Linked DNA regions of Notamacropus eugenii. The protein of the gene in region 1 purifies or fractionates together with the protein of each later gene. This does not show direct contact. Links are inferred from orthologs where the notes say so. Each region holds a gene or a part of one and is shown on either strand. Other genes may lie near its edges.

What was found.
Region 2: the proteins of OFD1 (region 1) and CEP20 purify together in Homo sapiens (co-immunoprecipitation; 3 studies listed by BioGRID and IntAct, with this or other methods). This does not show direct contact. The link is inferred for Notamacropus eugenii from reciprocal best matches to the Homo sapiens genes OFD1 and CEP20.

What each region holds. Positions count from the first base shown.
Region 1 is NC_092876.1:377,230,734-377,247,047, forward strand, and holds the start of OFD1 (centriole and centriolar satellite protein OFD1), read right to left. Parts: upstream 6,619-16,314; 5' UTR 6,379-6,618; intron 6,360-6,378; exon of another isoform or gene 5,969-6,359; 5' UTR 5,963-5,968; coding exon 5,870-5,962; intron 4,763-5,869; exon of another isoform or gene 4,759-4,762; coding exon 4,558-4,758; intron 2,376-4,557; coding exon 2,307-2,375; intron 2,223-2,306; coding exon 2,192-2,222; intron 1-2,191. Other genes in the region: TRAPPC2 (trafficking protein particle complex subunit 2), read left to right, coding at 10,503-10,595. UniProt on the Homo sapiens protein: Component of the centrioles controlling mother and daughter centrioles length. Recruits to the centriole IFT88 and centriole distal appendage-specific proteins including CEP164. Involved in the biogenesis of the cilium, a centriole-associated function.
Region 2 is NC_092872.1:96,247,744-96,263,755, forward strand, and holds the start of CEP20 (centrosomal protein 20), read right to left. Parts: upstream 8,963-16,012; 5' UTR 8,826-8,962; coding exon 8,798-8,825; intron 6,522-8,797; coding exon 6,324-6,521; intron 4,176-6,323; coding exon 4,091-4,175; coding exon of another isoform or gene 4,087-4,090; intron 266-4,086; exon of another isoform or gene 153-265; intron 1-152. UniProt on the Homo sapiens protein: Involved in the biogenesis of cilia. Required for the recruitment of PLK1 to centrosomes and S phase progression.

The DNA.
Region 1 (16,314 bases):
CAAATTTTTGCTCATTAAAAAAAAAAAATTTTTTAAACCAAGGTCACTTACGCAATGTAAATTACCAAAGAGATGACCAGTGCAGATGAGGACACAATAGCTAGAGTCTGATGTTTTGAAGAAAATTTTAAAAAGGTGGAGATACTGATCAAAAAAATGTAAATGCTAATAAAACAGGCTTCTTCTGAGATGCTTTCTAGAACTTACATTTTTAAAAAAAGAAAAAACTCAACCTGGATTTAAAGTGACTAAAGATTCCCTTATTGGAGGAAGAGGAAGAAGGCAATTTTTAATTAAAAACAATGATTGTTAGTCAGTTCTGAAGTCTTCAAGTTTTCGGAGGTGTCATATGACTATTACTTCTAGTTCACTGGCTATGAAATGAGACTGCAAGGGTCATTAAAGCTTTTTTTGAAGACTGGTCTTCAAGTTACTTTAGGCCAGGTGTTGAAAAACATTACAAAGACAACAATATAATGTTTAAAACATTACTGATTTTAGATAATTCATCAGGTAATTCAAATTCATTGTATGAGAGTATGAGATGCAATTTGCTGAGATATGGATAAAGCTCTCTGAACTTCACCAGATATATATATATGAAGATTTAAAGACTGTAGGTTATTCAGATTTTAAATAACAACATTTTTATCTTATTATTCATCACCATAGCTGATCTTTGGGTACAATTTTCAGTAATTTTAATTTTTTTTATTTTTGCTTTCTATAGTTACTGTATTACTTTGTAACAAATAAATCAAAAATATTTTAATATCCTCTGTAATAGTATAATAAACAGATTAAAACCTTATTTTAAAAATTTTACTGAATATTTCCATATTTCCAACAACTACCATAGTCTACATGTAATTATTCTAAAAGCTAAGGGTATAACTACAAATAATATAAATTTGAATGATGTGACCACTTCAAAAAATTCAATTTGCAGTAATTGGGACTTAGCTGAACTGTAAGTTCATGAACTTTTAAATGAATTTGTTACTGAAAACTCATTATAGAACTACTATCATTTGAGAATCTGAAATTTTTTTCCCAATTACAAACGTGTTCTCATACTTGAAAAGTTTGGGAACCGCTGTTCTAAGGCATTTAAAGTCATTCGGCAACTCTCAGTCAATGTAAGTGCTACAAAATTCAACATCAAGAATAATTCTATGATATAAAGAACTATAGTATCTAATGGATGGTTAAAAAAACAATTAAATTGATTCAACTCATTTAAACCAATATTGAAATAAAATAATCGGATTAGACTGAGATATCAGGCATTTATATGGTTTTTAAGGGAATTTATTAAAATATTAATTTTCATAAATTTTATCAGTAATAGCTAATATTTATATAGTGCGTCAAAGTTTACAATTATTTACCTCCATTTTACAAATAAGGAATATGAGGCAGAGGTCAAAATATCACTGAGTGATATCAATAAGGCAGGATTCTACCAACTAAGGTCTTCCTGACCTCAAGTCCAGATCTCTTATTCACTCTGGCATCCAGATGCCAAATACCAGTTAGTTAAAATATTCTTGTTTAATTTGCTTTGAATTATGCTACTATCTTCCATTCTTCTATTTGCATTACCAAACATAAAGGCATAAACTTGACAGAGGTTTAAATTTCACCTCTACAATAATTACAGTGACACAGTGGTTGTTGTTTCCTTCATTCTTGAAGAGGACATGACATCAGAAAGGTGATGCCATGACAGGATGTGAACTGGATTTAAGTGAGGAGCGCTGTGTAAAGTCACCCACCTCACTCTCTCCTTTGGAACCATAGGGGTACAGCGGAAAGATAAGACAACTGGAGATGGTCCCCATGGGACTAATTACTTAACCTCTAGGTCTTAGGAAATTCCTTAAGATTTACATACTAATTCATGGACAGATGGCAATCTGAAGGGGTAAAAGATGCTTCCCACACTGAGGAAGTCTAAGATTCTTTGTATACTCACATTACAATAAAGGAAGAAAAATTTTAAGAATAATCATTTTTTTCAGGAAAAGAGAATGAAAAATTGTTAAAAATATACTGGAATTGTATTTGGAAAAAAAATCCAATTATTTAATTCAAACTAAATAATACAAATTAAAACACTATTTTTTCCCATAAAAGAAAAATAAAACTGTCATGTATATACTTCTAGCAAAATATATGAATCGTTTACCTTTTTGGTTCTCTTTTTGAATCTTTGAAGTCTAAAAAAAAAAGGAAAAGAATTAGTTTCATTCAACTATGGTTAGTAAACCAAAGTAGATTTATAGAATCTAAAAAAATCCTACCAATGATTTGTAGAAACTGGATTTGGGGTTGATTTTAATCAGCTGGAGTAGATCTTGCATAGTAAAAACCTTTTGAAAAGAAAATTAAAAATTAATGGTATAAAATTCTGTCATTTTAGGTATGCTAAACCAAAAAAAACAAAAACAAAAACAGAAAATATAGCAACATTCAAATTAATAGTACAAATATAACTATACTAATAAATTTGATTTTTATACACAATGACAAACACTGAACCCACAAATTTATCATACTTACATAGCTTTTATAGCAGAAAATTCAAAGAATTTATTAAATGAATGAACACATAGGATCAGAACCTATTAACACTTATAATAAAAGCTAACATCTGTATAATGCTATGTGCCAAGCACTCCGCTAAGCATTTTTCACAAAAATTATCTCATTTGATTCTCACAACTCTAGGCAACAGGTGGCATTAGTTCCCTGTTTTACAGATGGAAAAACTGAAGCAAACAGAAGATATGACCTACTTCAGGTCACACTGCTAGTAAGTTCCTGAGTGTCTCCAGACTGGACACTGATCCACTGTGCTGTCTAGTTGTTAGTTATAAAAATAGAGAACAATATGAATTTAACATATTTTCACATTAGTCCTGCTGTATAGAAGAATTAGACTGAATGGGAGGAACCATGAGAAAGGAAAAACAAAACAAAATAAAACTAAACAAAAAAAAGAGCAAATAGTATCCTTCCACCTACATTTAGGTTCGATAGTTCTTTTTGTGGATGTAGATAGCATTTTCCATCATGAGCCTTTCGGAGTTGTTTTGCTTTGCTTTGCCTTGCATTGCTGAGAAGAGCTAAGTCTATCAAAGTGAATTATCGAACAATGTGGCTGTAACTGTGTACAATGTTCTCCTGATTCTACTCCCATCACTCAGCATGAGTTCATATAAATCTTTCCAGGTTTTTCTGAAGTCTGCCTGCTCATCATTTCTTACAGCACAATAGTATTCCATTACATTCATATGCCACAACTTGTTCATCCATTCCTCGATTGATGAGCATCCCCTTGATTTCTAGTTCTTGGTCATCACAAAAAGAGCTGCTATAAATATTTTTGTACATATGGATCCTTTTCTCACTTTTATGATCTTTTTGGGATACAGCCCTAGAAGGGGTATTGCTGGGTCAAAGGAGATTCTGGTATGCACACATAGTTCCAAATTGCTCTCCAGAATGGTTGGATCAGCTCACAGCTCCACCAACAATGAATTAGTGTTCAACTCTCCCACATCGCCTCCATGTTAGCAAATCTGATACGTGTGATGTGGTACCTCAGAGTTGTTTTGATTTGCATTTCTCTAAACAATAAAGATTGAATCTACTTTTAAAAAGGAAAATTAATATGCAGTATTTCTTACATAATATCAGTAGCTCTGGTATGAAAAAATTCAATTTAAATTATGAGTAAATTAATATAACTAACATCTATAGCATTTCATGGTTTACAATTTGTTTTCCTTATTACAGTGGTAGATGGGTGGCTACCTTTCAATTTCAAAATGATTAAATCATTCATTCAGATAGTAAACTCAAAAATTTTTCATGATTAAGGCAGCTAGCCTGGAGTCAGGAAGAGTTGCATTCAAATCCCAACCTAAGATACTTACTAGCTGTGTGACTCTGGGCAAGCCACTTAACATTCTTTGCCTCAGTTTCCTTATTTGTAAAAGGAGATCAAGAAGGAAATGGCAAAACACTCTAATATTTAATGGGATCACAAAGAGTCAGACATAACTGAAACATCTAAACAACAAAATTATCATATTCATTAATGGACATAGGGATAAAGCTGGTACACTGCTTCAGGGTGAACCACAACTTGTCCCAACCTGACTCTTGGTGTCCCCAGAATGCAACTAGTTGAGTGTACCAAAGGATTTAAAGTATTCATTTAGACTATTCAAAGAAGGTCCAAGCTGCCTAAGATACACTATCTAGGAATGACAGGAATTCCTAGGAACAGGTGAAAAATCTAAAATATTTTTATTTAATCAACATATTAAATTGAGTTGTTTCCTTCCTCCAAACCAGAATACTGAGTATCTTTCTCCACTGAGACTGATTCTATTTTGTTGATTTCCAGTCAGATGTGATGGAGAGGAGATTCTGGTTGAGAACCCAGACATATTTAAGGCTGATTTGAAGTACTGTTTTACTAAAGAGAGGAAAGTAAAAGACATTTTATCCAAGTGAATTAAAAGGTGGAGAAGGGATGATTACCTTTTCTTTTTCTAAGCCACTCTCAGGAAAGAAAACAGACAGTGAATATTCATAGCCACACCTGCGCAGGTGATCAGCCACAAGGCTATTAGAAGCCCCAACTAATAGTGAGCTTCCTTCAACAGCAATGACCTGTGGCTGCACTTCTCCACTCAAAACAGGATGCATCAACTCATGTATAAGCTGGTTTCGAAGTTGAGTCTACCTCAAAAAAAAAAAAAGGAACATATCAAAAATCTTACTAAAATATTATTTTTATTTAATAAAAGTATCGGCGATATTAAACAGAATGTTTCTTTCCTTCAACCCAGAAAGGTTCTTTTCCTCCTACAATAAGAATCAATTATCTTTGTACATTACACAGTGATTTTTACCCAGAAGAAAACAGAAGTAGCCGCCAAAAGACCTTACAAGGCAATTATTTTGTCATCTCATTAAAGAAATAACAGTGAGCTGGCTGCAGAGATGAAAGAACTGTATACATCTATCAGTTGGTACCTATTATCTTCTGGATGTCAAGAGTTTTAATCATTTCCAACAAGCACCTTCAAATACCACCTTAAGTGGCAGGGTGTGCTAGCTCCTCCTACCTGTGAAACCAATTGTTAAATTGAGAAATAGGCAAAATACAAACGAGGGGTAGACATACTGTTTTGTTGATAGTCTGGACATAAAGTGATGGAGAAAATGTGAATACTACAAAATAGTGAACTGTGAATACAGTCTTAACATTTACCAGCACTTCCCTGATTGTATCAGTTTAACTTTTTAATTTTTTTGTTTTGTTTTCTTTCCATAAGCTGTAACAGGAGGGTTTTCGGAAAGAGAAATTTTCTCCTTTCCTCTTACGAACAATAAGCAGAATAACATCCCCAGAGTTTGCTGCCAAAATGAAGCACTTTATTTACCCAAAACTTGAGATTATCCCTTCACTACCTACAAAAACGGGTTTACAAAAAAAACAAAAAACCTGTTAACGATTTAAAATTTAATAAAATTAACATTCTGAACATGCCATTTTTTCAACTTCTAAGAATGAATATCAGCCCTACAAAATGTTACATTATCAAAATGCTTCTTTTCTTAATATAATTACTTATTTCTATCTGAAACTTGTCCTTAAATGTATGCAATAATTAATTCAAGACTTCAAAAGGAAACCACACAATTCAAAATGGATACACGATAAAAAAAATAAAAAGTCCAATCTAACACGGTACCTGGGTGACTACTATTAAATTCACCCATCCTTGGATATTCCCATCTCATATTTTTTTGTCTATTATAAAGCAAACACATGCCCCAAAGGTACCTTGAGTGTGTCCAAAATACCCCGGTTCTTAAATGTCTGGTACAGTCTCTTTCGGAGCTCATCCTGAGACAGCGCCTGAGTTTCAAAAGGCATCTTGAACTGGAAGAGGAGACGGTGTCACGGGTTAGTCGGAGGTGGGGGAGATCCCTCATGATTTCAAAAACAACGTCAGGGACGCCAAAGACCTCAGCAGAACACCCCCGAAGTCATGAAAAGGGTTTGTTTTCCGGACACCCCCACCCCGGCCCCCACCTCCCACGAGGGACTGGTGTTTCTCATGTTTGCCCAAAGCCTCTCGGGGGAAGGAGAAGGGGGGGGGGGGGAAGCGTCCTCCAGCCCTTCGGGGACGGCCTTTAACCCCCTGGAGGCCACGTTCCCGAGGGGGGGGGGTGTCCCCGAAAACCGGCGACGACGAAGGGCAGTGAGATACTGGAAGAGGGAGAGATCCGCTTTCTCTTCCCGCTAAGCTGAGAGGCCGGAGGGGAGCTCAGGCCGAATCCAGTCATCACCTGACGGGGCCAAAGACTCCAGAAGAAAGCCTGGGCTATTAAACCGGGAAAGGGATCCCGGCGACCGAAAGGGAGCTTTCACAGGTTTGGGTGTACAGCCTGCATTGACTGAGGGCTGCTACTCTAGGTGGTCCTAAGGAACGTCCCTCCAGACCCAGTCACGCCGCCCGGGCCGCCGCCGCCGCCGCCGCCGTCGCGCAGGCGCACTCGTCCAGCTGTTAAACGTCTCAGCCTCCCGCCAATCCGCGGCGGGCTCAGTTCTCGCGAGAACTGGGGCGCCGCAGAGCGCCGCTAGAGCTCCCGAGGTCGAAGTTCTACCTGGAGTTTGACCGAGGGAGGTCGGGGCTGGTGTGGTTGGGGCAGGTGTCGCGTCCTGCCCACAGGTAAGGACCGGAGAAGGCCTAAGAGAGGCTGATTGAGACGGGGAGGGTGTCCGGTGCCCGTGCTTATAGCAAAGCCCCGCCCTCCTCTTCCTCCTCCCCCCTCCTTTTCTCACTCTCCTTCTCTCCTTCCCCTCCCCCCAGGACCTCTAGGACCATCCCCCCGTAGGGTTAGAATTGAAGGGGTAGGAGCCCCTCCTCTAAGAAATGGGCGAGTTTCTGCCCGCCCTATTTACCTGGTGCTGGTTGGCCCTTCTGTTGCCTAGCAAAGGGTAAAGTGCTGGCCGACTTTCCACGGTTTTCTCCCTCCGCCGCCTGGCACTGTGTCTTGATGGCGATACCTTTTTCATAACTTTTTTAAAATTACTCAGAAGGCAGGCCTATTGAATTTGTTTCTCCAACGAACTCTACCGAGATCATTGTATTCAGTCCCTCCACCGTTATGGGCGGTGAATTTGTTTTGTTTGCTTCCTGGATGTCCTCCAGGAGCATTTGGTTAAGATGCGTGGATCGCCAGTCGGGTAATAAAGATCGATGAAGCTTGTGCTGCGGGCCGGCCGCTGTGCTGAGCCCCGGCCGCTGTGCTGCGGGCCGGCCGCTGTGCTGCGGGCCGGCCGCTGTGCTGAGCCCCGGCCGCTGTGCTGAGCCCCGGCCGCTGTGCTGCGGGCCGGCCGCTGTGCTGAGCCCCGGCCGCTGTGCTGCGGGCCGGCCGCTGTGCTGCGGGCCGGCCGCTGTGCTGAGCCCCGGCCGCTGTGCTGCGGGCCGGCCGCTGTGCTGAGCCCCGGCCGCTGTGCTGCGGGCCGGCCGCTGTGCTGAGCCCCGGCCGCTGTGCTGCGGGCCGGCCGCTGTGCTGAGCCCCGGCCGCTGTGCTGCGGGCCGGCCGCTGTGCTGAGCCCCGGCCGCTGTGCTGCGGGCCGGCCGCTGTGCTGAGCCCCGGCCGCTGTGCTGCGGGCCGGCCGCTGTGCTGCGGGCCGGCCGCTGTGCTGCGGGCCGGCCGCTGTGCTGAGCCCCGGCCGCTGTGCTGCGGGCCGGCCGCTGTGCTGCGGGCCGGCCGCTGTGCTGCGGGCCGGCCGCTGTGCTGCGGGCCGGCCGCTGTGCTGCGGGCCGGCCGCTGTGCTGCGGGCCGGCCGCTGTGCTGAGCCCCAGCGCCGGGAGCTCCCGGTCCGATGGGGCGGACGAGAGCAGGACAGCTGCGTGCGGACAAGCTGCGCACAGGTTAAATTGGAAGTCATCCACAGAAAGAAGGCCCAGGAATTAAGGGGAAATCGGAAAGTAGAAGGTTTAGGATGTTTTTGTTTAGGATGTGTTTGTTCTCAGGAGACTGAGAAGCATTCAGTCAGGTAGGATGAGAACTAGGAGGAGGGAGTGGTTAATATTACCAAAAGCTGCAAAAATCTAGACGGAGGAGGTCTCAGAAAAGATCATGCAGTTTCATGGTAGAAATGAAAGGAACCTCTGAGGTTTTCCAGCCTTATTTTAATGTTGAATTTTAATTTAATTAATGAAGCCTCAACATTTTAGAGTTGATAACATTGAGACCTAGAGAGTAAATGACTTGCCACGATCATTTGTAGCCAAAGTAATTGGCTGGGGCAGGATTTGAACTGTGATCCTCCCTTTCCAAAGTCAGCATTCTGCACGTGACTGTCATTGAATGGAGCAGTTTCATTGTCATGACAGATTGTTAGCCGTTTCCTTATATTCAGCCAAATTTATTTCCCCATAGACTTACCCTTAACTTGATCTCCTTTAACCAAATACCAAACGCCAAACAGTTACAAAGACTGATCCCGCTTTCACATAATAACCCTCCACATATTTGAGATTTGCCAGGCAAAACAATTTTCAGCAATTCTTGATATGGCTTGGTTTTGTTTTGTTTTGTTTCAGATCCTTCACTATACTGGTTTTCCTTTTCTGGGTGTTTCCAGTTTCATCTAAGTTCATCTTAAAATTTGATGTTCAAAAGGGAGTATGTAATTGCATCATGTGTTAGCAGTGCACAGTGCATTAGGGTTATTACAATACTCCCTTGTTTTAGACATTATACTTCTATTAATGCATTTTAGCATTTGCTTATATGCCAGCCACATCGTACCATTAATGTTGAACTTGTAATTAAGTAAAAGTTGTAAGTCTTTTTTCACATAAAAAGTATTGTTTCCACCTCTGCAACCTTTCTTTCATCTCTCTTACCTCCCTCCCACCCCAAGTGAGTATTCTAAGCAGCAAACAGGTGTGTGGAAGCAGTGTATATGTTGGGAAAAGATGAGAATTTAAAAAGAAAAGGCATCAGTCAAACTTAAAAATATATCTGGCAAGAAATGAACCTCTACTAATATCTCACATGTAATACCTAAGTGAATTTCAAATGGATGATAGACTTAAACATAAAAAGAACTATAGAAAAAATGGAAGGGAAAGGATAGAATGTCATATTTGTTTCAATCTTTAGGGGAAATATTTCTGTTACAGAAATAGAATAATTAGTGGAGAAAAGATAAGTTGCTTGATTACATTAAAAAAAGTTTCTGTACAACAAAAATGGTATGATTTTTTAAAAATGTCAGATTGGAGGAAATTTTTACAGCCAATATCACATACTAAAAACTTGGCATCTGGACTAGAGAATTGTTAAAATTTTTACAGAAACAACTCCCTGCCCCCAGAGGATAAAAATAGGCAATTTAAAAGCAAACACTAATTGTTAATAACTACTTAAGAGTGCCCAAACCCACTATTAACCAAGTAGATGCAAATTTTAATAACTAAGGTGCTACCTCATGCTACATCACACTTAGCAAATTGGCAAAAAAAAAAGTTAAATGAAATGTAACAAGAAAGTCACTGATCCAGACAAAGCTCCTTGAAAGCAGACAGGTATTTGTCTTTGTACTTTAAGTATACATTAAATTTAACATGGTAAAACTGGCACTGCTAAGCTTGTCAGAATCCTCTTCTAATCTCCCATCTGTGAGTGTGTGTGTTTCTTTTAACGTTTTACTGATACATCTTTCATTTCTTTGTGTATATGTGTCAATTCTTTATAATTCTCCTGTCCAAACCTTCCTACTCCCTCCAAGCACTCCTTTGTAACAAAAAAGTTTAGTGAAGCAAAACAAATCCACACATTGGCATTGTCTGAAAATGTGTATCTCATTCTTATGTGGAATAATTTTCATTGTAAAAACTTTGGAAGAAACCTAAATGTCCTAAAAATTGGGAAAGGTCATATTAATACAATGAATATTATAATTCAATTACGAATGGTAAAGAATTGAAAAAAATCTTTATGATGAATATGATGAAATGATGCAAGGGGAAGCCCAAAGAACAGAGTACATGCTAACTATAATCATTTAAAAGTAAATGAGAATTAATAGGTAAATAAACCTGGAAGAAACTTGAGACATTTTATGCTTTAAAATGCCTTTAATTAGATGTTAATAACCAAAAAGCAAGTTTAATTGTTACATGGATTAATTTAAAGCTTATAATAAAGCATTTTTAAAATAAAACATTTTCTGTGTCCTTAATCTCTCCCCACTGCTTATAATATATTAGACATTTTAATTTGTTTTTCTATCTCTCACAGATGATCTCATTAATTTTGCTTCAGTAACATGCATCTTCCATGTAAATTTATGATGTTTTAAGATCGCTAGATTTACATTTCTATTTTTAGCATAAAATTCACAAAGAGATTTGTTATCTCATTTACTTAGGACCTGTATATTGGAGACAATGTCTGGAAGTTTCTACTTTGTAATTGTAGGCCATCATGATAATCCAGTTTTTGAAATGGAATTTTTACCAACTGGAAAAGTGGAATCTAAGGTGTGTATGCAACTTTAAAAATTCTTTAAAGTGATTTTGGTATTGTCATGATAAATATGGGCTAAGATCTTAGTGATGAAACAGACAAGGAAACTAATGTCTAATGAGTTGGAGTGATTTACTCCCAGGTCACACAGTAAGGTAGATATAACAGCCAACATTAGAACTTTACTCCCAATTCAATAAAACTTTCTGCTGCACAGTGTTTCCTCTTATTTAAAAAAAAAACAACAATGAAAGCACGACATTCTATTTTATAGTACAGTATCAGTGTGGTAAGAATTGATGTCTTCAGAGTAAAATGAAAGTTATACCATGAGTCATCAGATTTCTTTTCAGGGCATAACTAAATTATAAACCCCTGAGTGAAAGGGTTAAAGAGGTTTATTACTTTATATTGTTCCATTCTTCTTGAATATTCACCCTAACATTTGCTATATTCTATCTCCCATCTCTGTGGCTTTGCAGAGTTATCCCTCATACCTGGGAAGCTCTCCCGCTTCAAAGAATCCCTGGATTCTTCCCAGATCATCTCAGTTGTCATCTCCTAAAGAAAGGAAGCTTATCCTGATTCCCAACAGTTACTAGTTCCTCCTCCCCATCCATTATCATGAAATTACTATGTATATTTTGAATTTACCTTTCTGTGAACATGTTTTTCCAAACAAATATTTTGACAAATTTCTTGAGGGAAGGTAGTTTGGTTTATACACCCAATGCCTAGTATACAGTATGCATTTAATAAATTTCTCCTCTTCTGGTAATGGATATGGAATGCATAAGTATGGAAGAAAACATTTGTTCTTATATTTAATCTATATGCTAAATAATTCACATTTGGCATTGTTTACTAGAACACAACATATATGGCATCTAAAGGTTTTATGCTTTTGATTCTTCTTTAATTTTCTTCTTTAAATTTATTTATTTATTTAACTTTTAACATTCATTTTCACAAAATTTTGGGTTCCAAATTTTCTCCTCCTTTGTCCCCTCCCCCCACCCCAAAACACCAAGTATTCTAATTGCCCCTGTCTGCCAATCTGCCCTCCCTCCCTCCCCACCCCTTCCCTTTGGAAGGCAAGCATTTCAATATAGGCCAAATATGTGTAGTTTTGCAAATGACTTCCATAATAGTAGTGTTGTGTGAGAACTAATTATATTTCCCTCCATCCTATCCTGTCCCCCATTACTTCTGTTCTCTCTTTTGATCCTGTCCCTCCCCAACAGTGTTGACCTCAAATTGCTCCCTCCTCCCCATGCTCTCCCTTCCATCATCCCCCCCACCCTGCTTATCCCCTTATCCCCCACTTTCCTGTATTGTAAGATAGGTTTTCATACCAAAATGAGTGTGCATTTTATTCCTTCCTTTAGTGGAATGTGATGAGAGTAAACTTCATGTTTTTCTCTCACCTCCCCTCTTTATCCCTCCACTAATAAGTCTTTTACTTGCCTCTTTTATGAGAGATAATTTGCCCCATTCCATGTCTCCCTTTCTCCTCCCAATATATTTCTCTCTCACTGCTTGATTTCATTTTTTTAAGATATGATCCCATCCCCTTCAATTCACTCTGTGCACTCTGTCTCTATGTGTGTGTGCATGTGCGTGTGCATGTGTGTGTGTGTAATCCCACCCAGTACCCAGATACTGAATAGTTTAAAGAGTTACAAATATTGTCTTTCCATGTAGGAATGTAAACAGTTCAACTTTAGTAAAGTCCCTTATGACTTCTCTTTGCTATTTACTTTTTCATGCTTCTTTTCATTCTTGTGTTTGAAAGTCAAATTTTCTTTTCAGCTCTGGTCTTTTCATCAAGAATGCTTGAAAGTGCTCTATTTCATTGAAAGACCAATTTTTCCCCTGAAGTATTATACTCAGTTTTGCTGGGTAGGTGATTCTTGGTTTTAGTCCTAGTTCCTTTGACTTCTGGAATATCCTATTCCATGCCCTTCGATCCCTTAATGTAGAAGCTGCTAGATCTTGTGTTATCCTGATTGTATTTCCACAGTACTTGAATTGTTTCTTTCTAGCTGCTTGCAATATTTTCTCCTTGACCTGGGAACTCTGGAATTTGGCCACAGTGTTCCTAGGAGTTTCTCTTTTTGGATCTCTTTCAGGAGGTGATCTGTGGATTCCTTGAATACTTATTTTGCCCTCTGGTTCTAGAATCTCAGGGCAGTTTTCCTTGATAATTTCATGAAAGATGATGTCTAGGCTCTTCTTTTGATCATGGCTTTCAGGTAGGCCCATAATTTTTAAATTGTCTCTCCTGGATCTATTCTCCAGGTCAGTTGTTTTTCCAGTGAGATATTTCATATTATCTTCCATTTTTTCATTCTTTTGGTTTTGTTTTGTGATTTCTTGGTTTCTCATAAAGTCATTAGCCTCCATCTGTTCCATTCTAATTTTGAAAGAACTATTTTCTTCAGTGAGCTTTTGAATCTCCTTTTCCATTTGGCTAAGTCTGCTTTTGAAAGCATTCTTCTCCTCGTTGGCTTTTTGAACCTCTTTTGCCAATTGAGTTAGCCTATTTTTCAAGGTGTTATTTTCTTCAGCATTTTTTTGGGTGTCCTTTAGCAGGGTGTTTACTTGTTTTTCATGCTTTGCTTGCATGTCACTCAGTTCTCTTCCCAGTTTTTCCTTCACCTCTCTAACTTGATTTTCAAAATCCTTTTTGAGCTCTTCCATGGTCTGAGCCCATTGGGTGGGTTGGGATACAGAAGCCTTCACTTCTGCGTTTTTCCCTGATGGTAAGCATTGTTCTTCCTCATCAGAAAGGAAGGGAGGAAATGCCTGTTCACCAAGAAAGTAACCTTCTATAGTCTTATGTTTTTTCCCTTTTCTGGGCATTTTCCCAGCCAGTGACTTGACTTCTGAGTGTCCTCTCCACCCCCACCTCGCCTCCAGATCTGCCCAGCCAGCACTTGGGGTCTGAGATTCAAATTCTGCTTCCCAGCCTCAGGGCTTTGGGCGGGGGCAGGGCTGCTGTTCAGTGTGAGATTAAGTTCAGGTGCTCAGGTCAGGGCAGGGCTGCCTCACAGGCTCTGTTCCCTCAGGGGATTTATGCAGAGACCTTCAACAATGGATCCGGGGTCCTGCCTGCTTGGGGAGCCCTGGTCTGCTCCCGCCTCTGCTGCTGCCTCCCAAGGGGGCCTGAGTTATGGGGGCACCCCACTCCACTCTCGACCCTCCAAAGAGACCCTCTCACCGACCCTTGTCACCTGTGGGTGGAGGGACCCGCGCGGCTGCTGGAGATTCTGTCCCTGAAGCCTGCTCAGATCTGCTGCTTTCGGCGCTGCGCTGCCGAGGCAGGGTTGGGCTCTGCGCCGGGTCCGGGGCGTGAGGGACCCCCTGGGAGAGGTTTTCAGGCTCTCTGGAGCAGAAATCTCGTCCGCTCCGCTCTGCGGACTTCTGCTACTCCAGAATTCGACGGTGGTTCCTTGTTTTTTACAGGTATTTTATGGGCAGTGGGTTCAGAGGTAGCGTATGTGCGTCTTTCTACTCCGCCATCTTGGCTCCGCCCCCCTCTTCCTTTAATTTTCTACATACTTTGGTGGGTTGTCCTTGAGGTAAATTAGTCGTGCTAAAGCTTATCTGATGTCCACAGAATGTGAGTCAGTCAAAAAACATTTATTAAGCTTCTACTATGAGCAATGCACTTAGCATGCAAAATGCTAGGGACACAAAGAAAGACAAAAGACAGTACCTTAAGCTCAAGAAGTTCACACTCTAATGGAGAAGCCAACATGTGGGCAAGTGTATATAACATTTTGTTCTTATCAAGCCCCCAACTGCAGAGTCTCTTGTGAGATCTCTAATCACTCCTGTAACTTCCTTAACTTCTTCTCCAAGACTTTGGATGCTATACCACTTGGAGCATATATGTTTAGTAATGAAATTGCTTCATTGTCTGTAGTACCTTTTAGCAGGATATAGTTTCCTTCCTCATCTCTTTTGATTAGATCTATTTCTGCTTTTGTTTTGTTTGAGATTAGGACTGCTACCCCTGCTTTTTTTTACATCAGCTGAAGCACAAAATATTCTGCTCCAACCTTTTACCCTGTGTGTATGCCCCCTTTTCAAATGTGTTTCTCGTAAACAACATATTGTTGGATTTTTTGGTTTTTAATCCAGTCTGCTATCCATCTCCATTTACAGGAGAGCTCATCCCACTCATGTTCACAGTTGCGATTACTATCTGTATTTTTCCCTCCATCCCCTTTCCCCTTGTTTATGCTTTTAGTTCTCCCTTCTCTCTTCCCCTCCACAATAGTTTTAATTTTTGACCACTACCTCCCACAGTCTTCCCTCCCTTCTTTCAGCCTCCCTCCCTTTTAATCCCCTTTTCCCTTACTACTTCTTCACTCCCTTTTAGCCTCCCCTCCCTTTTCTTTCCTCCTTCCTCTCCTACTACCTATAGAGCTAATTGTATTTCTATTCTTAACAGTTTGTTGTACCCTCCTTGAATCCAATCAGATGAGATTGGAGAGATGAGTACCTCTCAAACAATGCTCATCTCCCTCTCCTCTTTCCCTCTACTGTAATTTATTTTTGTGCATCTTCCTGTGTTGGAATTTATTTTTTTCTGCCTCCTCCTTTTCATATCTCCCATTACAATCCCTTTGTGCCCTTAAATCACATTTGTTATCACATCATTTAATTTATACTCACTCCCTCTATCTGTATATATCCTTTTTACACTTCATAATAAATATATAATTCTCAAGATTAACAAGTATCATTTTCCCTTATAGGGCTGTAAACAGTTTGCCCATATTGTGTAACAGTTTCTTTCCCCCTGTTTACCTTTTTATGCCTCTCTTGAGACCTACATTTGAAGATCAAATTTTCTGTTGACTTCTGGCCTTTTCATCAGAAAGGTCAGGAAATCCCTTATTTCATTGAATGTCCATCCCCTTGCCTGAAATATTATGCTCAACTTTGCTGGGTAATTAATCCTTGGTTGTAGTCCCAGCTCCTTTGCTTTACGGAATATCATATTCCAATTCCTTTGCTCTTTTAATGTAGAAGCTGCAAGGTCCTGTGTGATCCTGACTGTAGCTCCTTGGTATTTGAATTGTTTCTTTCTGGCTGCCTGCAGTATTTTCTTCTTCACTTGATAGTTCTGGAATTTGGCAACGATATTCCTTGGTGTTTTTAGTTTGGGGTCCCTTTCAGGAGGTGAACAGTGGATTCTTTCTATCACTTTCTATCACTATCTGAGTCTAGGACTTCTGGGCAATTTTCCTTGATGATTTCTTGGATGATATTGTCCAGGCTCTTTTTTTCATCATGGCTTTCTGGTAGCCCAGTAATTCTTAGATTTTCTCTCCTCGATCTATTTTCCAGGTCAGTTGTTTTTCCAATTAGATATTTTACATTTTCTTCTATCTTTTCATTCTTTAGATTCTGTTTGATTGATTCTTGATGTCTCATAGATTCATTAGCTTCTACTTGCTCGATTCTATTTTTTTATCAAATTGTTTTCTTCAGTTAACTTTTGCATCTCCTTTTCCATCGGTCCAGTTGTTCCTTTTAAGGAGTTCTTTTCACCAGTTAGGTTTGTACTTTCTTTAACATTTGTCCAATTTTCTTTTTAAGGAGCTGTTCTCTTTAGTGAATTCTTTTTGCATATTTTTAAAATCATTGGCCAGTTTTTCTTCTATTTCTCTAATTTGGGTTTTAAAATCCTTCCAGAGCTCTTCCAAGAAGGCTCTT
Region 2 (16,012 bases), on another chromosome or scaffold:
ATAAAACATGTCATCAACAAACACATACTATAAGGGTTTTAAGGAACCTTAAAGATCACCTAAATTTAACTACTTCATGTTAAAGATAAGGAAACAAAGGAGTACTAGGGAAGAGTGACCAACTCAAGGCCAGAATCAGGACTTGAACATACGCCTCTGACCATCTTCTCCTGGATATTCTTTCTGGATTCTTGTGGTATTGTCCTCTCTTCTTTCTCCTTCCTGTATGACCTTTCCTTCTTGGTCTCCTTTGCCAGATCGTCATCTACAATATGGATTAACTCTGAGTAAACACTCAAATTTTATCCTGGGCTCTTTTATGTTCTCTTTCTTAGTGGGCTCATTGGTTCCCATGGATTTATCATCTCTACCTAATGCCTCATCTATCCTAAATTCCATGTTACAAACTGCCTCTGGACATTCAGAATAGGATATCCAGTAGGCATCTCAAACTGACCAAGTCCAAAACAGAACTCATTCTCTGACAGCCCCCTCCCCAACTCTCAATCACTGCTTTCAAAACTTCTGTGTTACATCCAAGGGTACTAGCACACCTCCAGGCACCAGGTTTACAACTTTGGATTCATTCTCAACTGCTCCCTGTCCCTCACTTCTCACATACAAGCATCTGCCAAGTCTTGTCAATTTTATCTCCAAACATCATCTCTCACATGTACCTCCTTTTCTCTACTCACAAAGCCACCTCTTTATTTCAGACACTTGAGGTCTCTAGCCAGTACTATTGAAATAGTCTCCCTGCCCTCTCCAATTCATACTCCACATACCCCCCAAAGTCATATTCCTAAAGGCTATGTTTCTTCCTACTTAAACTCTAGTTGTTCCCTATTACCTCTAAGATCAAATACAAATTTTTCTATGAGAGGATCCAAAAAACCCTAGATTGCAACAATGGGCTGAAAATAACAAGGAAAAATTTAAGTGAGATCAATGTAAAGTCCTAAATTTGGTTTAAAAACTCCACTGCACAAGAATAGGATAGAAGAGAAACAGCTAGAAAACAGTTCATGTGAAAAGGAATTGCAAGTACAAAATGAGTCAACAGTATGATACAGAAACCAATGCAATTTTAGGTTATGTTACAAAAGTGAAATGTCCAGAGCAAGGAAAACCACATTTGGTTTTGTGTCCAGTCTGGGGTGCCATATTTTAGAAGGATGCTGACAAGCAAGAATATTTAAAGGAGGACAACCAGGAAGATGGAGGGACTGAAAAGTATAACACATAGGACTCATGTAACTAAGGATGCTTAGTCTGGGAAAAAGATGGCTTGCCAAAAATTTGGTAACTGTCTTCAATTAGCTGAAAGCGTCGTTGAAGAAAGATTAGAATTATCTTGTTTGGTCTCAAAGAGCAGAGCTAGGACTAACTGGATATTTTATAGGGAGATTTTACCCCACATAATTACTTTTCCTAACAATTAGAGCTAACTAAAATACAATGGGTTATATTATCAGATAAGGTATTATCCATATCAGCAGAGGTTTTCAAGCAAAGGCTGAAGGACCACTTGTTGGGCATATGTAGATTCCACGCTGTATGTGGTGCACAACAATCCCTAGGATGGCCCAAACCAGATAAAATAAATAAAAATACAATAAAACACAGAAAACATGTAGCCCCAAAGGAGTCTTTATATATGTTTAGTTTCTTTTTGAGTTTTATGCCCCGGCTGTGGAGAGTTTTCATGATCAGAACAAGGACTGACAAGAGGCAGTTGTACAATGATGAACACCTGCCTCTTACTACCTATATGATCTTGAGCAGGTTCATTTTCTCATCCATAAAAGGGTGAGCTGCCTAGAAAACACCAAAGGCCAACTTTCAGCTCTAAATCTAGGATTCTATTATCTCTTGAGTTCTCTACACCTCTGTCATTCTATAGTTTTTTAAAGCAGGGACTATGTCTGGGCCTTAATAAGTATCTATTAAATTGCTACTCTTAAAACAACTGTATCACTCATGTGAAATACTAACTCCAAAAATTCAACATCAGCCTGAAGGGGCAGATTTATTTTCAGCGCAGTATCAAAATTTCAATTAAAATCCAACCCAAAAATATTTTTTCAAAACAAGAAAAAACATGTAGGGCTTGAACACGTAGGGCAAAGACAACTTCCTCCTCACTCTGTTATAACTATTGATGCCGCCTGTTTGAAACATTAAATTATACTACCAAAACCCATTTGGTCATCTGACCATGGGATAGACTAAAAACATTAAGAGAAATAGAACTTGGTTTCTTCCAACTCTGCAATTTATTAACTGGCTAATCTTGGGCAAGTAATTTCACTTTCTCTCAGTTTCCACATCTATAAAATGGGAGTGAGGTGTGTTGTGCTGTATCATTGGTTGTTCATCTGTAGTTCATGAACTTAAAAAAAAATTTTTTTTTATAATTGCATATCAATATAATTAATATCCTTGGTAATCCCTGTACTTTATAAATTTAAAAACCTTATTCTGTGCCCATTATTTTCACTAGAAACCAATGTCAAAGGGAGTCAGGAAACATAAAAAGTTAAGAATCCCTGTACCAAATTGCTTCTAAGGCCCCTTCTAGGTCTGAGTACAAGATGCCATCCTAAATTAACTGACTCAAAAGGAAAAAATGACTTTATACTAATCATGCTAGTTTGGGGAAATTTTTAAAAATTATCTCAATCTTCCTTCACACAGGTCTGAAAATTTTATTTTTTTGCCTGACCTGATTTACTAAAAAGCAATTCAAACTCTAAAATTATGGATTCAATAAAAGGATTTTTTTTGCTTATTTTTGCTGTAAAAACTAAATATCACAAATGTCTACATTTTAATTATTTGCTGTCCACTTAAAGTGACAAACTTTCATGATTCTATTATATTATATGCTTGGTATTCCTTATTAAAAAGAGGATCATCATAAATGTTAAATAAAACAAGTCTCTCTTAATTAACTGTCTTCAATATGCTATACACACAAAAGAAGTTGGCAAAACTAGAAATGTATAAGTCACACATTTTAAAAGCTAGACATCAGTGTAATAACAGTCTAACTGGCCCTGGAGTCAGGAGGGCCTGAGTTCAAATTCGGGCCTCAAAACACTTGACACTTACTAGCTATATGACCTTGGGCAAGTCATTTAACCCCAATTGCCCTGTCTTCCTCCCTCCAAAAAAAAAGAAAAAAAGCTTTCAAAGGTCTCATCTTTTATTAAACATAACCCCCTAAATAAATTCTTGAAATAACTAATAGCTCAGATATGACACACAGCAATCACTTTTAATTTTTAAAATAATTCTAGGTTTAAATTATAAAAAATAAACACAATTTACTTAAAATTATACCGTACTTACTTCCATACTCCACACAATATGAAACAATTAAAATAAAAATAGAAAAAATGTTTTTTTTTTTAAAAAGCGAAGAAATAGTACTGTAGCTGAGATAAATCAGCACCTACAGCTAAGCAACAAAAATAATGTGGTATTATGCCATTAGTCATAAAATAATTAAATAGTACTGAACTCTCAAGCCTCATCTACTTGGCACATGAATTATTTGAAGAGAGACTAAGAGAAAACCCCTTGAAAATTTATGAATAAACAAGACTTAACCAAAGGACTATTTCTGGTCAAGAAAACAAATAGAAACATTCGCAATTTTCTTTACATTGTTTTTCTAAATGTTCTTCCCTTCATTCATTCAGCTATAAATATTTACTTTATGAATTATTATGTGCAAGAAACTGTGCTAGGTGTCTATTGAAGAGGATAAATAAACATTAAGATACAGTCTCTAAACTCAAGAGAGGTTTTCTCCAGGCAACCACTGAATGGCCCCAAGAATTTTGGCTAGGGTTTATTGGAGCAGACCTAAGAAAGCATTGCAAAAATATGTGACTTTGCAAGATGCCTTTCAAGAAAATCTGGTCTGCCACCACAGCCCAAAATTGTCCACTTCACAAACCTCTTGGGTTTATAAACTAACTTCTACTGTTAACTGAAACAAACACTGGGAAACTGTTTGCCTTTAGAGATGTGGATAAAAAAACAAAAAAAAAAAGGAAAACTTAAAAAAATAATGTCTTACACTGTTTTTGCATTCGAGTCTTCATATATATTTAATTCCTTAATGAGAAATTGTCTCTCCAATGGCGTTGCTGGTTGACCAGATTCTGAAAAAGAAAGACTCTTTTTATGAAATCCTCAGGTACCATAAAACACAAATATAATCCTGCAAAGAGTTGCATTTTTAAGTTTTATGAAGTTATGGAAGTAAACCCTATACCATACAATCAAATGAATTTCCTAAGAGGATGATAAACAAAGGAGATAAGAAATCAGATCTGGAGGCTAACTGGTACTCTCTCAAAAATATTGTTAAAACACATACAGGAAGCACAGTAAAACTTTAACATCCTACAACTCTCTGACATTACTATGTGTTGCACTTTCTCCTAGATTAAGCACAAGGTAAAACCCCCCAACCTCAGACAGGCAGTACCTTCATGAATGATAGTGTCAAAATAGTTAACACTTTCTTCATAACCAGATGAGCAGAAGAAGTGGCATCAACGCCCACTCTACCAGTGAGACTTGACTATTCTTTACAGAACAGATTTAATAGGATAAAGACTGACAAAGTCCTTGTCCCAAGAGGCACACCTACTATGATCTCTGAAGAGGACTACTGGAAGGTGATGAACGGCCTTGAACCATAACCAAGTTTACTGTGTTTGTTAGGTTTCTGACTCTTCCCCACCCCATATGAGGTTCTGTGGGCAAACATACTGGAGTGCTTTGCTATTTTCTTCTCCAGCTTATTTTACAGATGAGGACATTTACATCTGAACTCAGGTCTTCCTGATTCCAGACCTGGCTCTCTATCCACTGTACTACCAGGCTGTCCATCAAATTGCTCCTTAAACTTTTTAGTTTCATCATTTCATTCCTTCACTAGCTTCAAAGGCAGTGAATGTCCAACAAATATTAAAACAAATAATCACAGAATATGTAATAGCATGTCCTCCCTCCCCTTAAAATGATGTATTCTGTGTTTGTCCTTTTCTCATTAAAAATTTTGCTTTAATCTCTCAAATGTGAAGATGGTTGTGTTATTCTACTTGGCAGGGCTTTAGAAATCTTATTTCTACATATATGCCAGTAAACTAAAGCATTAATGGAAAAATTTAGTGTAATATGTAAGAGCTTCAAAATACACTACTTAGTGTAGCAGAGATGAGAAAAATAGAGCTAGATGCCTGGGTCAAATTTTAAATTACACACCAGAAACTTTAAAATGATTTGTACCCATTTTTCAATTATGCATAATTTTTTCATGTGGATTATTTCTTCCACTTATAAAGTTCGCAATCCATTTCAGACTTGGTCTTTAAGAATTTCTATGACTGAAAAATTCACGGATAATTAAACCTCCTTAAACTTACCCAGACTAGTCTTTGGCTGAAAAACTCAGGAGAATTTTCTAGCTTTGCAGGATCTGTACTATGATGGCTTTAAAAATTAATGTTCAGTACATTCTAATTATGTTTCTCTCTTTAAAGTTCTACATTATCAAGCCAGTTAATCCTGACAAGGAACTCTAGCTCTATTTGACACCAAGAATACCTATGCTGATAACAGGAATACTGAACAAGAGATTGTTACCTAAATTGATTAGGAAAATACCTAATTATCACAAGAATAAGACTTTTCCAGAGATTAAAAACCAAGCATTTGACTTGTCAACAAAAAGGAAAAGATGCATGCATAGAGAGTTTCATTCCCAAAGTGAAGCAAGAAGGGCCAGGAGATCATGGTGCACTGTAACAGCCAAGTGCAATGATGACCACCTGTGAAGGACTTGATTACTCTGATCAATACAGTGACCCAAGACAATGCCAAAGGACTCATGATGAAAAGACTCTATCCACCTCCAGAGAGAAGGGATGAACTGAGTGCAAACAAACAGAATTGTCCTCACTTTCTTTAATTTTGCTTTTTGTTTTTGCAGTATGGCTAACATGGAAACGTTTTGCACGATTTCACAAATATAACTGATATGCCATCTCTGGGGTGAGAGGGAGAGAATCTGGAACTCAAAATTTAAAAAGAATGTTAAAAATTAATAATAATCTTTTAAAAGCAGTGCTTCATTTATCCAGTTGTTTTCTAGCAAGCTGGTTGGTCAGGCTTCAGAAGGAGATCAAAAGACTATTTCAGCTCTCAAGCAGCTAGATGGTGTTTTTGTTGACAAAACTGAATCATCAAGCTAAATCACACACACACAAAAAGAATTCACTTAACAAACAATCCACACTTACCAGCTGTAAGGACAGATGCTGAATACTTATATTTGTTGAACTCCAAATACTCCCGAATTAGCTCATTAATTAGGAGGTTTTCATGAGACAGGGGTGGAGGTTTTTCACCTTGATCATCTAGTGCATTAAAAACTTCAGCTCTGATCTTCGCTCTTAAGTGTCCCAGTACACCCCTTTTTTCCAGAGTATCCTTCAAAACTATTAAATAAGATACAATATTTTAGTGCAAGAATTGCAAGTGAAATAAATCATTGATCAGTCTTATATGCTGTTATGGAGCAGCTTGGGACACAGATCAAAGAAAATGAATTTTAAAGTACTACCAACAAAGCAATGAATGATGGCCTCGGACTGAGTCCTGAGGTTTCTTCTAGATGCTTTCACTGATCTCTGAGCCCAGCACCAGCCCACCTCCCTATGTCCCCCTGGGTACCATAAAGCCCTAACTCCAGCTCTCCCTACAGTTTTTAAGCTGTCAGCCATTTGCCAATAGTAACTTCTAAGATAAATTTTCCAGTAAAGTTTGGCTGATCCAAATATTCCCTACTGTAATTGAAGCAGTGAAGCCGTCTGCCTTTTAAATGACCTCTTTTCTACACGATGCTAAAACCCTCAATCATCTGTGTATGCAAGTATAGTCTGTACAAATATTATCAGCTAACAAGTATTTACAGAGTACCTATGCTCTATTTTATTTCTCCTTCACCTGCTGCATATAATGTCACCGTTATCACTGAAGTGCTGAAAAAATCCAAGAGACAGTTCCCTCTGAGAACTCTTACTCCAGCTAAACAAACCAAATTACACATTCATGGAATCTAAGAATTGGAAGAGGTCACAGACATCATCGAGTCAAAGTGTCAGGGCTAGAGAAGTGAAAATAAGTATCTAAGGTCACACAAGCACTTAGTATGGGAGCCGAGATAAGAACTCGAATCTCTAGAACCCTTCCCAGCCTTCACCAGCCTCCTGTTTCTGCAACGTCAATAACAGGAGAAAACACCCACATAGGGCAAAACCCTACAAAGATGCAAGGTGCTGTGGTTATCAGTCAGGGCAAACCAACAGCGAACAAAACCTCCCAAGCCGCTCCTTTAGCCTCTTTCAGTTATCTAGACTCTCCATGACCCCTTCTGGGGTTTCTTGGCAAAGATGCTGCAGGGATTTGACGCTTCCTTCTCCAACTCATTTTAAAGATGAGGAACTGAGGAAAACAGGGTTGAGGGGTTTGCCAGGGGTTCACAGCTACGACTTCCAGGCCTACGCCCTACCCACTGCCACCATCCACATCACATCCTGCAAGCTCTATGGTCAGGGGCAAATCCTGACCTTCTCAAGCGCCAGGGCGAGCTGAAGTAGCTGGATGACCCAGCAGACACAGTGGTTGGGACCTGAGACCTAAGAAGGCCTAAATTCAAATCCAGCCACTCAGAGCAATGCCTGGCAGGCAGGGGGAGCTCAACAAATACCTGTGGGCCAGTCCAATTCCCTAGATCCAAGCCTCCGGTTCCCTTACCTGTAAAATGCAACTCTTAAGAGGATCACAAGCTTGTTGTGAAAATCCAAAAAAAAAAAAAAAAAAAGGGTTACTGTTTTAACTATTAAAGGCTGAAAAGCTTTAGACTGCAGTGAGACTCTTAAAAGACAATAAGCATTTATTTAGAGCCTGTTATGCGCTCACCACTGCTAAACTCTGGGAACATAAAGGCAAAAGACAGTTCAAAGGAGACAACAAGCAATTAGGTACACATGAGCTAAATCTGCAGAGCGAGGGAAGCTGATTAACAATTAGGATGAAGAGGAAATAACCAACAGAGGGGGCAGGCACTAGAATCAAGGATCAGGACGGCCTTGCTGCGGAAGGTGGAATTTTAGCTGGGGTATCTTCTACTTTTTGAAAACCTGAGGTTTTATAACAAAAAATAGAAAAACCAGTTATCCTTGGAAGGTAAGGTGGACAGGTGTTTGCACCACGGAGGACCCCACTCCAGGTCCACGTAATCCCACAGCAGGGGGCATGGGAGGAAGGGGGGGGTGATAAGGGCAGTGAATCAAGTGAGCAGGGAATCTGGGAATGAGAGAAACACCCCTCCCCCTCCCCCTCATTCCTGGGGTGTTTTTGTCTCTTTTCGGATTCCCAGCGCAGGGCTGCCCCTCCCCCCATCTTTTCATAAAATAAATTACTGGGAGAAATATCAACAGCAGGCGCTCGATAAATGCTCACTGACCCATTCATCAATAATCATTTATTAAGCGCTTACTACGTGCCAAACCCTGGAGGAACAAAAAGTAGCAAATTAAAAGCAAAATCCCTGCCTTCTTAACGGGGGCACTGAAAAGCCCAGGAGAAGGCAAGCCGCGGCCCACCCGGGCCTCTCCGCCCCGACTCCGTCCCCAGCCCAGCCCCGCTCGGAGGCCGCTCCATCTGTGTCTCAGACTGAGCTGTCCGGCCTACGCGTCCGTTCCTCCGCTACCTGCTTTGAGTTCCGCCACAGTCGCCATTTTTCAACGGCCGCCCGGGAGTGAAGGGAAGAAGGGCGGGGCCTAGCCCCGCGCAGCGCGCATGCGCGGCACACCGCCCCACCCCCTCAGCGGGCCCAGAAAGGCCGAGGCTCCGCCCCTGAGTCCCCAGCCTATCACACGTCACATCCGGTGATCTCTCCGGTACGGGCCAATCGGGTGGCCTCTGGCCCGGGAAGCTGCCGTAGGCACGCGTGCTGGTGGAGAAGGTGTTTACTTCTGTGGGATTACGCGGGCTGTGCTTTCAGTTGGGGTGTTAGAAGTGATCGATTTATGGGAGCCCCTGGACAGAGAGGCGAGGACGGGTTGTGATGGGCGTCATTAGAGAAAGCTTCCGAATCCCTGAGGTCACCGGTGTAGACGAGTGTTTGCGCCGGAAGGAACGTATGGGGAAGAACTCAGGAGTTAAAGAGAAACATCCAGCTGGGCGGGTCGGATAAAGGCGCGGTGGTGGGAATGCCGCAGAAGGGGTCAGCCCCAAATGGCGTTATTTCATATGTATCTATGTACCTATATATACATATATATATACTTGTATGTGCCTATAGGAAGATGCAGAAATTGGAAGAGTAAGAATAATAACCGAGTTACGGAATGCTTTAAAATTAAGCACTTTATGCCTTTATTTAATTCTCAAATTTGTGAATGAAAATTAATTCCTTCTCCAAACAACCCTGAGATAAAAATCTAGTATATCCTCTTCAGAAATCAGAGAATCCTAAAAGCCACTTCACATCTTTTGGATCGGCTTATGGGACAAAGGAAAAGGGCTGTTGGAGGGGGTGTGGAAACACTGGAACACTCATTCTTTGTTGGTGGAGTTGTGAGCTCATCCAACCATCCCGAAGAGCAATCTGGAACCATGCCCAGAGGACAACTGAAAGCTCTGCATACCCTTCATCTAATGATACCCCTGCTGGGTCTATATCCAGAAGATACCCAAAAAAAGGGGGAAGAATCTATTTATACAAAAGTATAAGACAGTGGATAAGAACTGGAAATGAAAGGGATGCCCGTCCATTGGGCAATGGCTCACAAGCTGTGGTATATGATTGTAATGGAATATTATTGTGTCATAAGAAATAACAAGCAGGGTGATTTCAGAAAAACCTCCAAGACTTAGTGAACAGAACCGGAGTACATTGTATACAGTAACAGGAGTATTGCTCAATGAAAAACAATGAATGACAACTATTCTCAGCAATACAGTGATCCAAGATAATCCCAAAGTATTCATGTTGAAGCATGCCTCCAGAGACATAACTGATATTGCTTGAATACAGACTGAAGCATGCAGTTTTTCACTTTCTTTCATTCCTTTCGTCTTGTACAAAATGACTAATATGGAAATGTTATATATTATTGCACATGTCTAACCTATATCTGATGGCTTACTGTCAAAAGGATGGGAGGAAGGAAAGGAGGGAGGAAAGGATAGAATTTGGAACTCAAAACTAAAAAATGTTTAAAATTGTTTTAACATGTAATGGGGCAATAATGTATGCGTGTGTTTAAAAATCAGAGAATCATGAATTTAGAGATGGAAAGGATTTTAAAGGCCATTTGGTCCAAACCCCTAATTTTACTGGTGAGAAAACTAAGACCCAGAGAGAAGCCACACAGCTAGTAAGAAGCAGAATTTCAACACTGACAAGGCAGAGGCTATTCCCCATAATAAAATTATATTCTCTGCTCTCAAAAATGTTATCAAATTCTTTTCTGAGGGACTAGCAACAGGTTCATTCAATCTTGCTTACTGGGAGGATTAGAGATTAAGGTATTATTGAAATTACTATTTCATATCTCTAGGATCAAACTGCAGGTCATTTGAATTCAAAAGAGTAAGACTTCATTGACCAAGAATTAAAATGATTCATCTGTCAAACAGCCATTGCTGGGAGAAAAGGAACCTTCCCCACCCTCCAACCCTCCCAAAGGTGGAATTTTACAAATGGGAGACACCTACTTTATGGAACTACTTCCCTATGATGTTGGGACAGCTTTTTTTTTTTTTTAAACCATATTACATGCCCTATACATCAGGGACCTCTGTCCTGCAAGAACTTGAAAACCAAGCCCAAATTGTTGATTGAAGATTAATTGTAGGGAAATTTGCATTTTTGGACCCTAGAAACAGCACAAATGCTCTTATACCTGTAGAATGGGTACAATGCATGCTGAAGAGCCAACGGTTGCCTTCAAATATTTGGAACCTGAAACGTAAGAGGAGAGTTTGAACTTGATCTGCTTGGTCCCTGAAAGCAGAACTGGGAATCCTGAGAGCAAAGTTACAGGGAAGCAGATTTCAGCTTGATAAGAGGAAAGACTTCCTAACTAGAATACCTGGACCGGAAGTGAATGGATTGCCTACGAGATAGTGGATTCCCCTGCCCTGGTCTTGGAGCAAGTCCAGAGAGTCCACTCATCTTGTTTAAATATGCAGATACTTAACCAAGAATGGTGTTAACCCAGGACTAGGAATACAAAACAGCCTGGGGAGATAAATTAGGTCCACTCAAATCACCTTGTAAAAACAAAGTTTATTTGAATATGTAGGGGAGAGACTGAGGAGAAAGACCTTAGGACTGATGGCTGTAAAGGGAAGAGATGTTGGCACTTTACAAAGCTGCTGCTGGAGAGGCCCCCGCTGGACAGGAGACTGTTAGATAGAAGCTTAGTTGGAATTCAGCTCAGGGAGTGGTAAGGGGAGAAGCACACTGTGGGGGCTACCTCTAATATTCTTTCTAACTAGGTGCTAAACTCTAAATTCTGGTGCCCTACCTCTGATCACCTCACCCTATGTGGGCCTGTGGGTATAAATTACATTATATGACTTCTCTCATAGGCCTATGTACTCCAACCTCTGAGATCTCTTCCTACAATCAGATTTTACGATTGTATATGTATGATTTTTACCAGTACGTTGATCAGATGTCACCAGCCTTACAAAGGGGAGAAGCCAAGTTGTGGCTAACAAGTCTAGGTTTTCCCTAACACGAAGAAAGCAGGGATTGCAGCTGATTTGTAGTAGTAAAGCTGCACTCAAAAGGCTCAAAGCTATTTTCTCACTGTTTCTCTAATTAGAAATTCTTTTGGATTAACTTTCTCTTCTTTTAAAATGTAAATTCCTTGGTGTGGGTTATCCTTTTGAGTCATTCATATTTTAGAGTGAATTGCTAAACAGAACTTGAAGGAGCAGCTAGGTGGCAGGTAGGTGGCAGTGGGTAGAGTGCTAGCCCTAGAAAGAGTAAGGAAGACATCTTTCTGAGTTCAAATGTAGCCTCAGGCACTTACTAGCTGTGGGACCCTGGGCAAGTCACTTGACCTCAGTTTCCTTATCTGTAAAATGACCTGGGGAAGGAAATGCCAAGAAATCCCCAAATGGGATCACAAAGAATCAGACACGACAGGCATGATTGAACAACAACAAAAAAAAATCTATTTAAGATTAAGTCTGAAGGTTTGATTGTGGCCAGGAAGGAGGGCATAGTTGTCTTTCTTTAAGAAAGAAGTTTTATTAATGCTTTTTTTTTTTTACAACCCCTGTTTCCATAATATAAGAAGAATAATTTTCAATCTTAATATTCTTGGGAAAGGGCAGGCTTTTGGGGTCCCATATCAGGTCCCTTGAATGCTAGCCTTGTGGAAAGATCCCGAGGAAGACTCAGAGCACAGCTCACTGAGGCTATTGCAAACTTGATGCCCATAACTGGGAATCTAAAGGTCCTAAGGAGAGGACTGTATTTCCAGTAATATGGGATACAAAACTGAGATAAGGCAATCAGCCAGGTAAATTTGAAATATCTCTAGTTAAAAGGGGCTCTTTTACTTCAGATTCTCTTAAGAATAATAGGTCCCACCAATGCAACCAAGATTAGATGGAAAACAGAAAAGCTGGAGAAACAATTTTTATAGCAAGTATTCTGGTAAAGGCCTCATTTCTCAAAAATATAGAGAATTGAGTCAAATTTTAAGAATATAAGTCATTCTCCAATTAATAAATTGTCAAAGGAAACGAACAATCAGTTTTCAGATGAAGAAATTAAAGCTATCTAGTCATATGAAAAAATGCCCTAAATTACTATTGATTAGAGAAATGCAAATTAATACAACTCTGAGGTACCACCTTATACTTATCAAATTGGCTAATATGATAGAGAAAATGATAAATGTTGGAGAAGATGTGGAAAAATTGGGATACTAATGTGTTGTTGGTGGAGTTATGAACTGATCCAATCATTCTGGAGAGCAATTTGAAACTATGCCCAAAGGGCAACAAACGTATGCATACCCTTTGATCCAGCAATACCACTTCTAGGTCAGTATCCCAAAGAGATCGTAAAAAAGGGAAAAGGATTCACGTCTACAAAAATATTTATAGCAGCTCTTTTTGTGATGGCAAAGAATTGGAAATTAAGGGAATATCCATCAATTGGGTAATGATTGAACAAGTTGTGATATATGAATGTAATAGAATACTATTGTGCTATAAGAAATGATGAGCTGGCAAATTTCAGAAAAACCTGGAAAGACTTACGTGAACTGATGCTGAGTGAAGTGAGCAGAACCAGGAGAATATTGTAGGCAATAACAGCAACATTGTGCAGTGCTAGGGTTGGAAGCTCAATTCCATGTGGACAGTCTCGGGCGGGTAAAGGTGGGAACTTCTAAATCTTAGAGTTCTCACGAGACCCCCCAGGAAACGACTGGGAATCGAGGTGAACCAAGCTATCTCGTGTATTTCCGCCTCTTCCCGTGAGAAACGTGATGGGAGAGAGCTCTCCCCGCCCTCGAGATTGTCCCGGATCTGGGCACACTATTGTTATCTAACAGCACGGTATTCAGATGCAAACTATGCTGCTGAAGAGTTTAAGTAGGATCAGGAAAGCCTGAAAGTTCTCTTGGGCGGAGGGGCACGGAGCGGACAGGACAACAAGGCTCCGCTTTTCCTCTCTCCTCTCTCCCCTCCCCCTCTCTCCCCACTTACACTTCTACTTCCAATCTCTTATTGTAAGATCTTTGCCTCCTTGGGAGATTCTTCGCTCCCTCCTAAGGAAGAATTCCCCTGCACTTGTAACTAGACCCTGAAATAAAGCTCAACCCTTGTTTGACTCTGGAACGTCCTTTCTCTCATACGAGCATCCGGTTTGGCCAACCGAAGACCTCGGGAGGTGAGGTAAGAAGACTCGGGTAGCCCTCAGGCCTCTAGGCCTGGCAGTGCAGTGTTCAACTATGATAGATTTAGCTCTTCTCAGCAAAACAGCGATCTAGACAACTTTGAAGAACTTATGATGAAAAATGCTATCTACCTCTGGAGAAAGAACTGTGGAGTCTGAAGAGATGGAAGTATACTACTTTCACTTTTTTATTTTTTCCCCTTGGTTTCTCTTTTTTATTCTGTTTCTTCTTTTACAACGTGACTAATGTGGAAATATGTTTAACATGATTGTGTATGTATAATCTATATCAGATTGCTTGCCATCTTGGTAAGGGGGGGTGTGAGGGAGGGCAGGAGAAAAATTTGGAACTAAAAATCTTATTTAAAAAATGAATGTTGTAAACTATCTTTATATGTAATTGGAAAAATACTATTTACAAAAAGAAAAAAAGAAAAATAATAATAGATCCCTTTGTACTTCTATCATCTTTCCGCAACTTTTCATCCACTTCTATTTGAAACTAACCCCACCCTAAGTCCTATCTCTCCTGCCTTATGATCAGCCCTTGTTTAAAATCACCTGATTGAATAAACTATGCCCCTAATCTGAACCCTGCCAATAACCAAGATCCTTCTTTACCTTCTTTCATGCTTTTGCATTCCCATTCTTTTGCATGCTAGGATCTCCAAGCCCTTTATCCCTGTCTTCCAGGCTTTCACCCCTGTTCTAACCTCATTTTCCTCGCTTCCCATGTTCATCCCTATTGTTAACCAGTTCATCTCTACATGACCTCTGTTCCACTCCTTGTTGCCCCACCTGTTCTATAGAACCTCATACCTTGCAAATCCTAGGCCTTTATTACTCCCACCATCTGCTTCCTTTACTGCTAAATTTGCTGCTAAAAGAAGCTGAAGTCCATCAGGAAACCAAAGTGAATGAGAATCTCTGACAACTTTATTATATGATCTCAACTGGGCACTTAGCAAGGGCCCTTTTATTCCTCCCTAATTGATTCTCTATCTCACTCCCACAGAGGTTGCTCCAGACCTTTCCTTCTTTCCCCTATCCAGTCTTCCTTATCTTTCTCAGCTGAGGACCTTGTCTTTTATCTTACTGAGAAAATAAGAAGCCATCGGTGGCGAGCTCCCTCTTCTCCCCTTCTCTATAATTCAAAATATCCATCCCCTGCACAGTTCTGCTTTTTCTCTAATTCTTAGCCTCTCCCTATTTATTTCTTCTTTCTCTACTGTCTGCAAACAAACCAAGCCTCTCTATCCTGAAAAAAACCAAAAAACCTTACTAAGCCCTAGTACCCACTTATGCTATTATCTTCTATCTCTCCCTCATTTCACAATTGACCTCTTAGAAAAAGAGGCATCTCATTTCTCAACTGTTTGCAATGTGACTTCAGAATTTCTCTCTCAAATGAAGCTGTTCTTTCTTTCTTGTCACTCTCTTAATCACCAAATTTAATCACCTTTTAATCATCAAATCTGTTGTTTTTTTTATATTTCTTATCCTTTGTAACTTCTTTGCAGCATTTGGTGTAATTGATTACCTTTTCTGCCTGAATACTCTGTCTGGTTTTTGGTTTTCATGACATTGCTGTCTTTTGTTTCTCCTTCTATCTATCTCATGGCGCCTTCTCAGTCTCCTTTGTCGGTTCATCTTCCATATCACATCCCCTCCCCTCACTATGAGTGTATGTCAAAGTTCTATCCTGGGTGCTTTTTTATTCTCTTTCTATATTCTCTCACTTAGGGGCCATTTAAGCTCCCCTGGGTTTAATTATAATTTCAATCCAAATGATTCACAACTCTAAATTAACCCTAGTTTCTAAACTCTTAACTTCCAAACAAATATATGCAACTATCTATTGGATATTTCAAACTGGAAGTTCTATAGGCATCTCGGATTCAACATATTTAACTCATTATCTTTCCCTTCTAAATTTCCTGATTTCTGTCAAGGTCACCATCATCCTTCTGGTCATAAACAGAAGAATGCTTC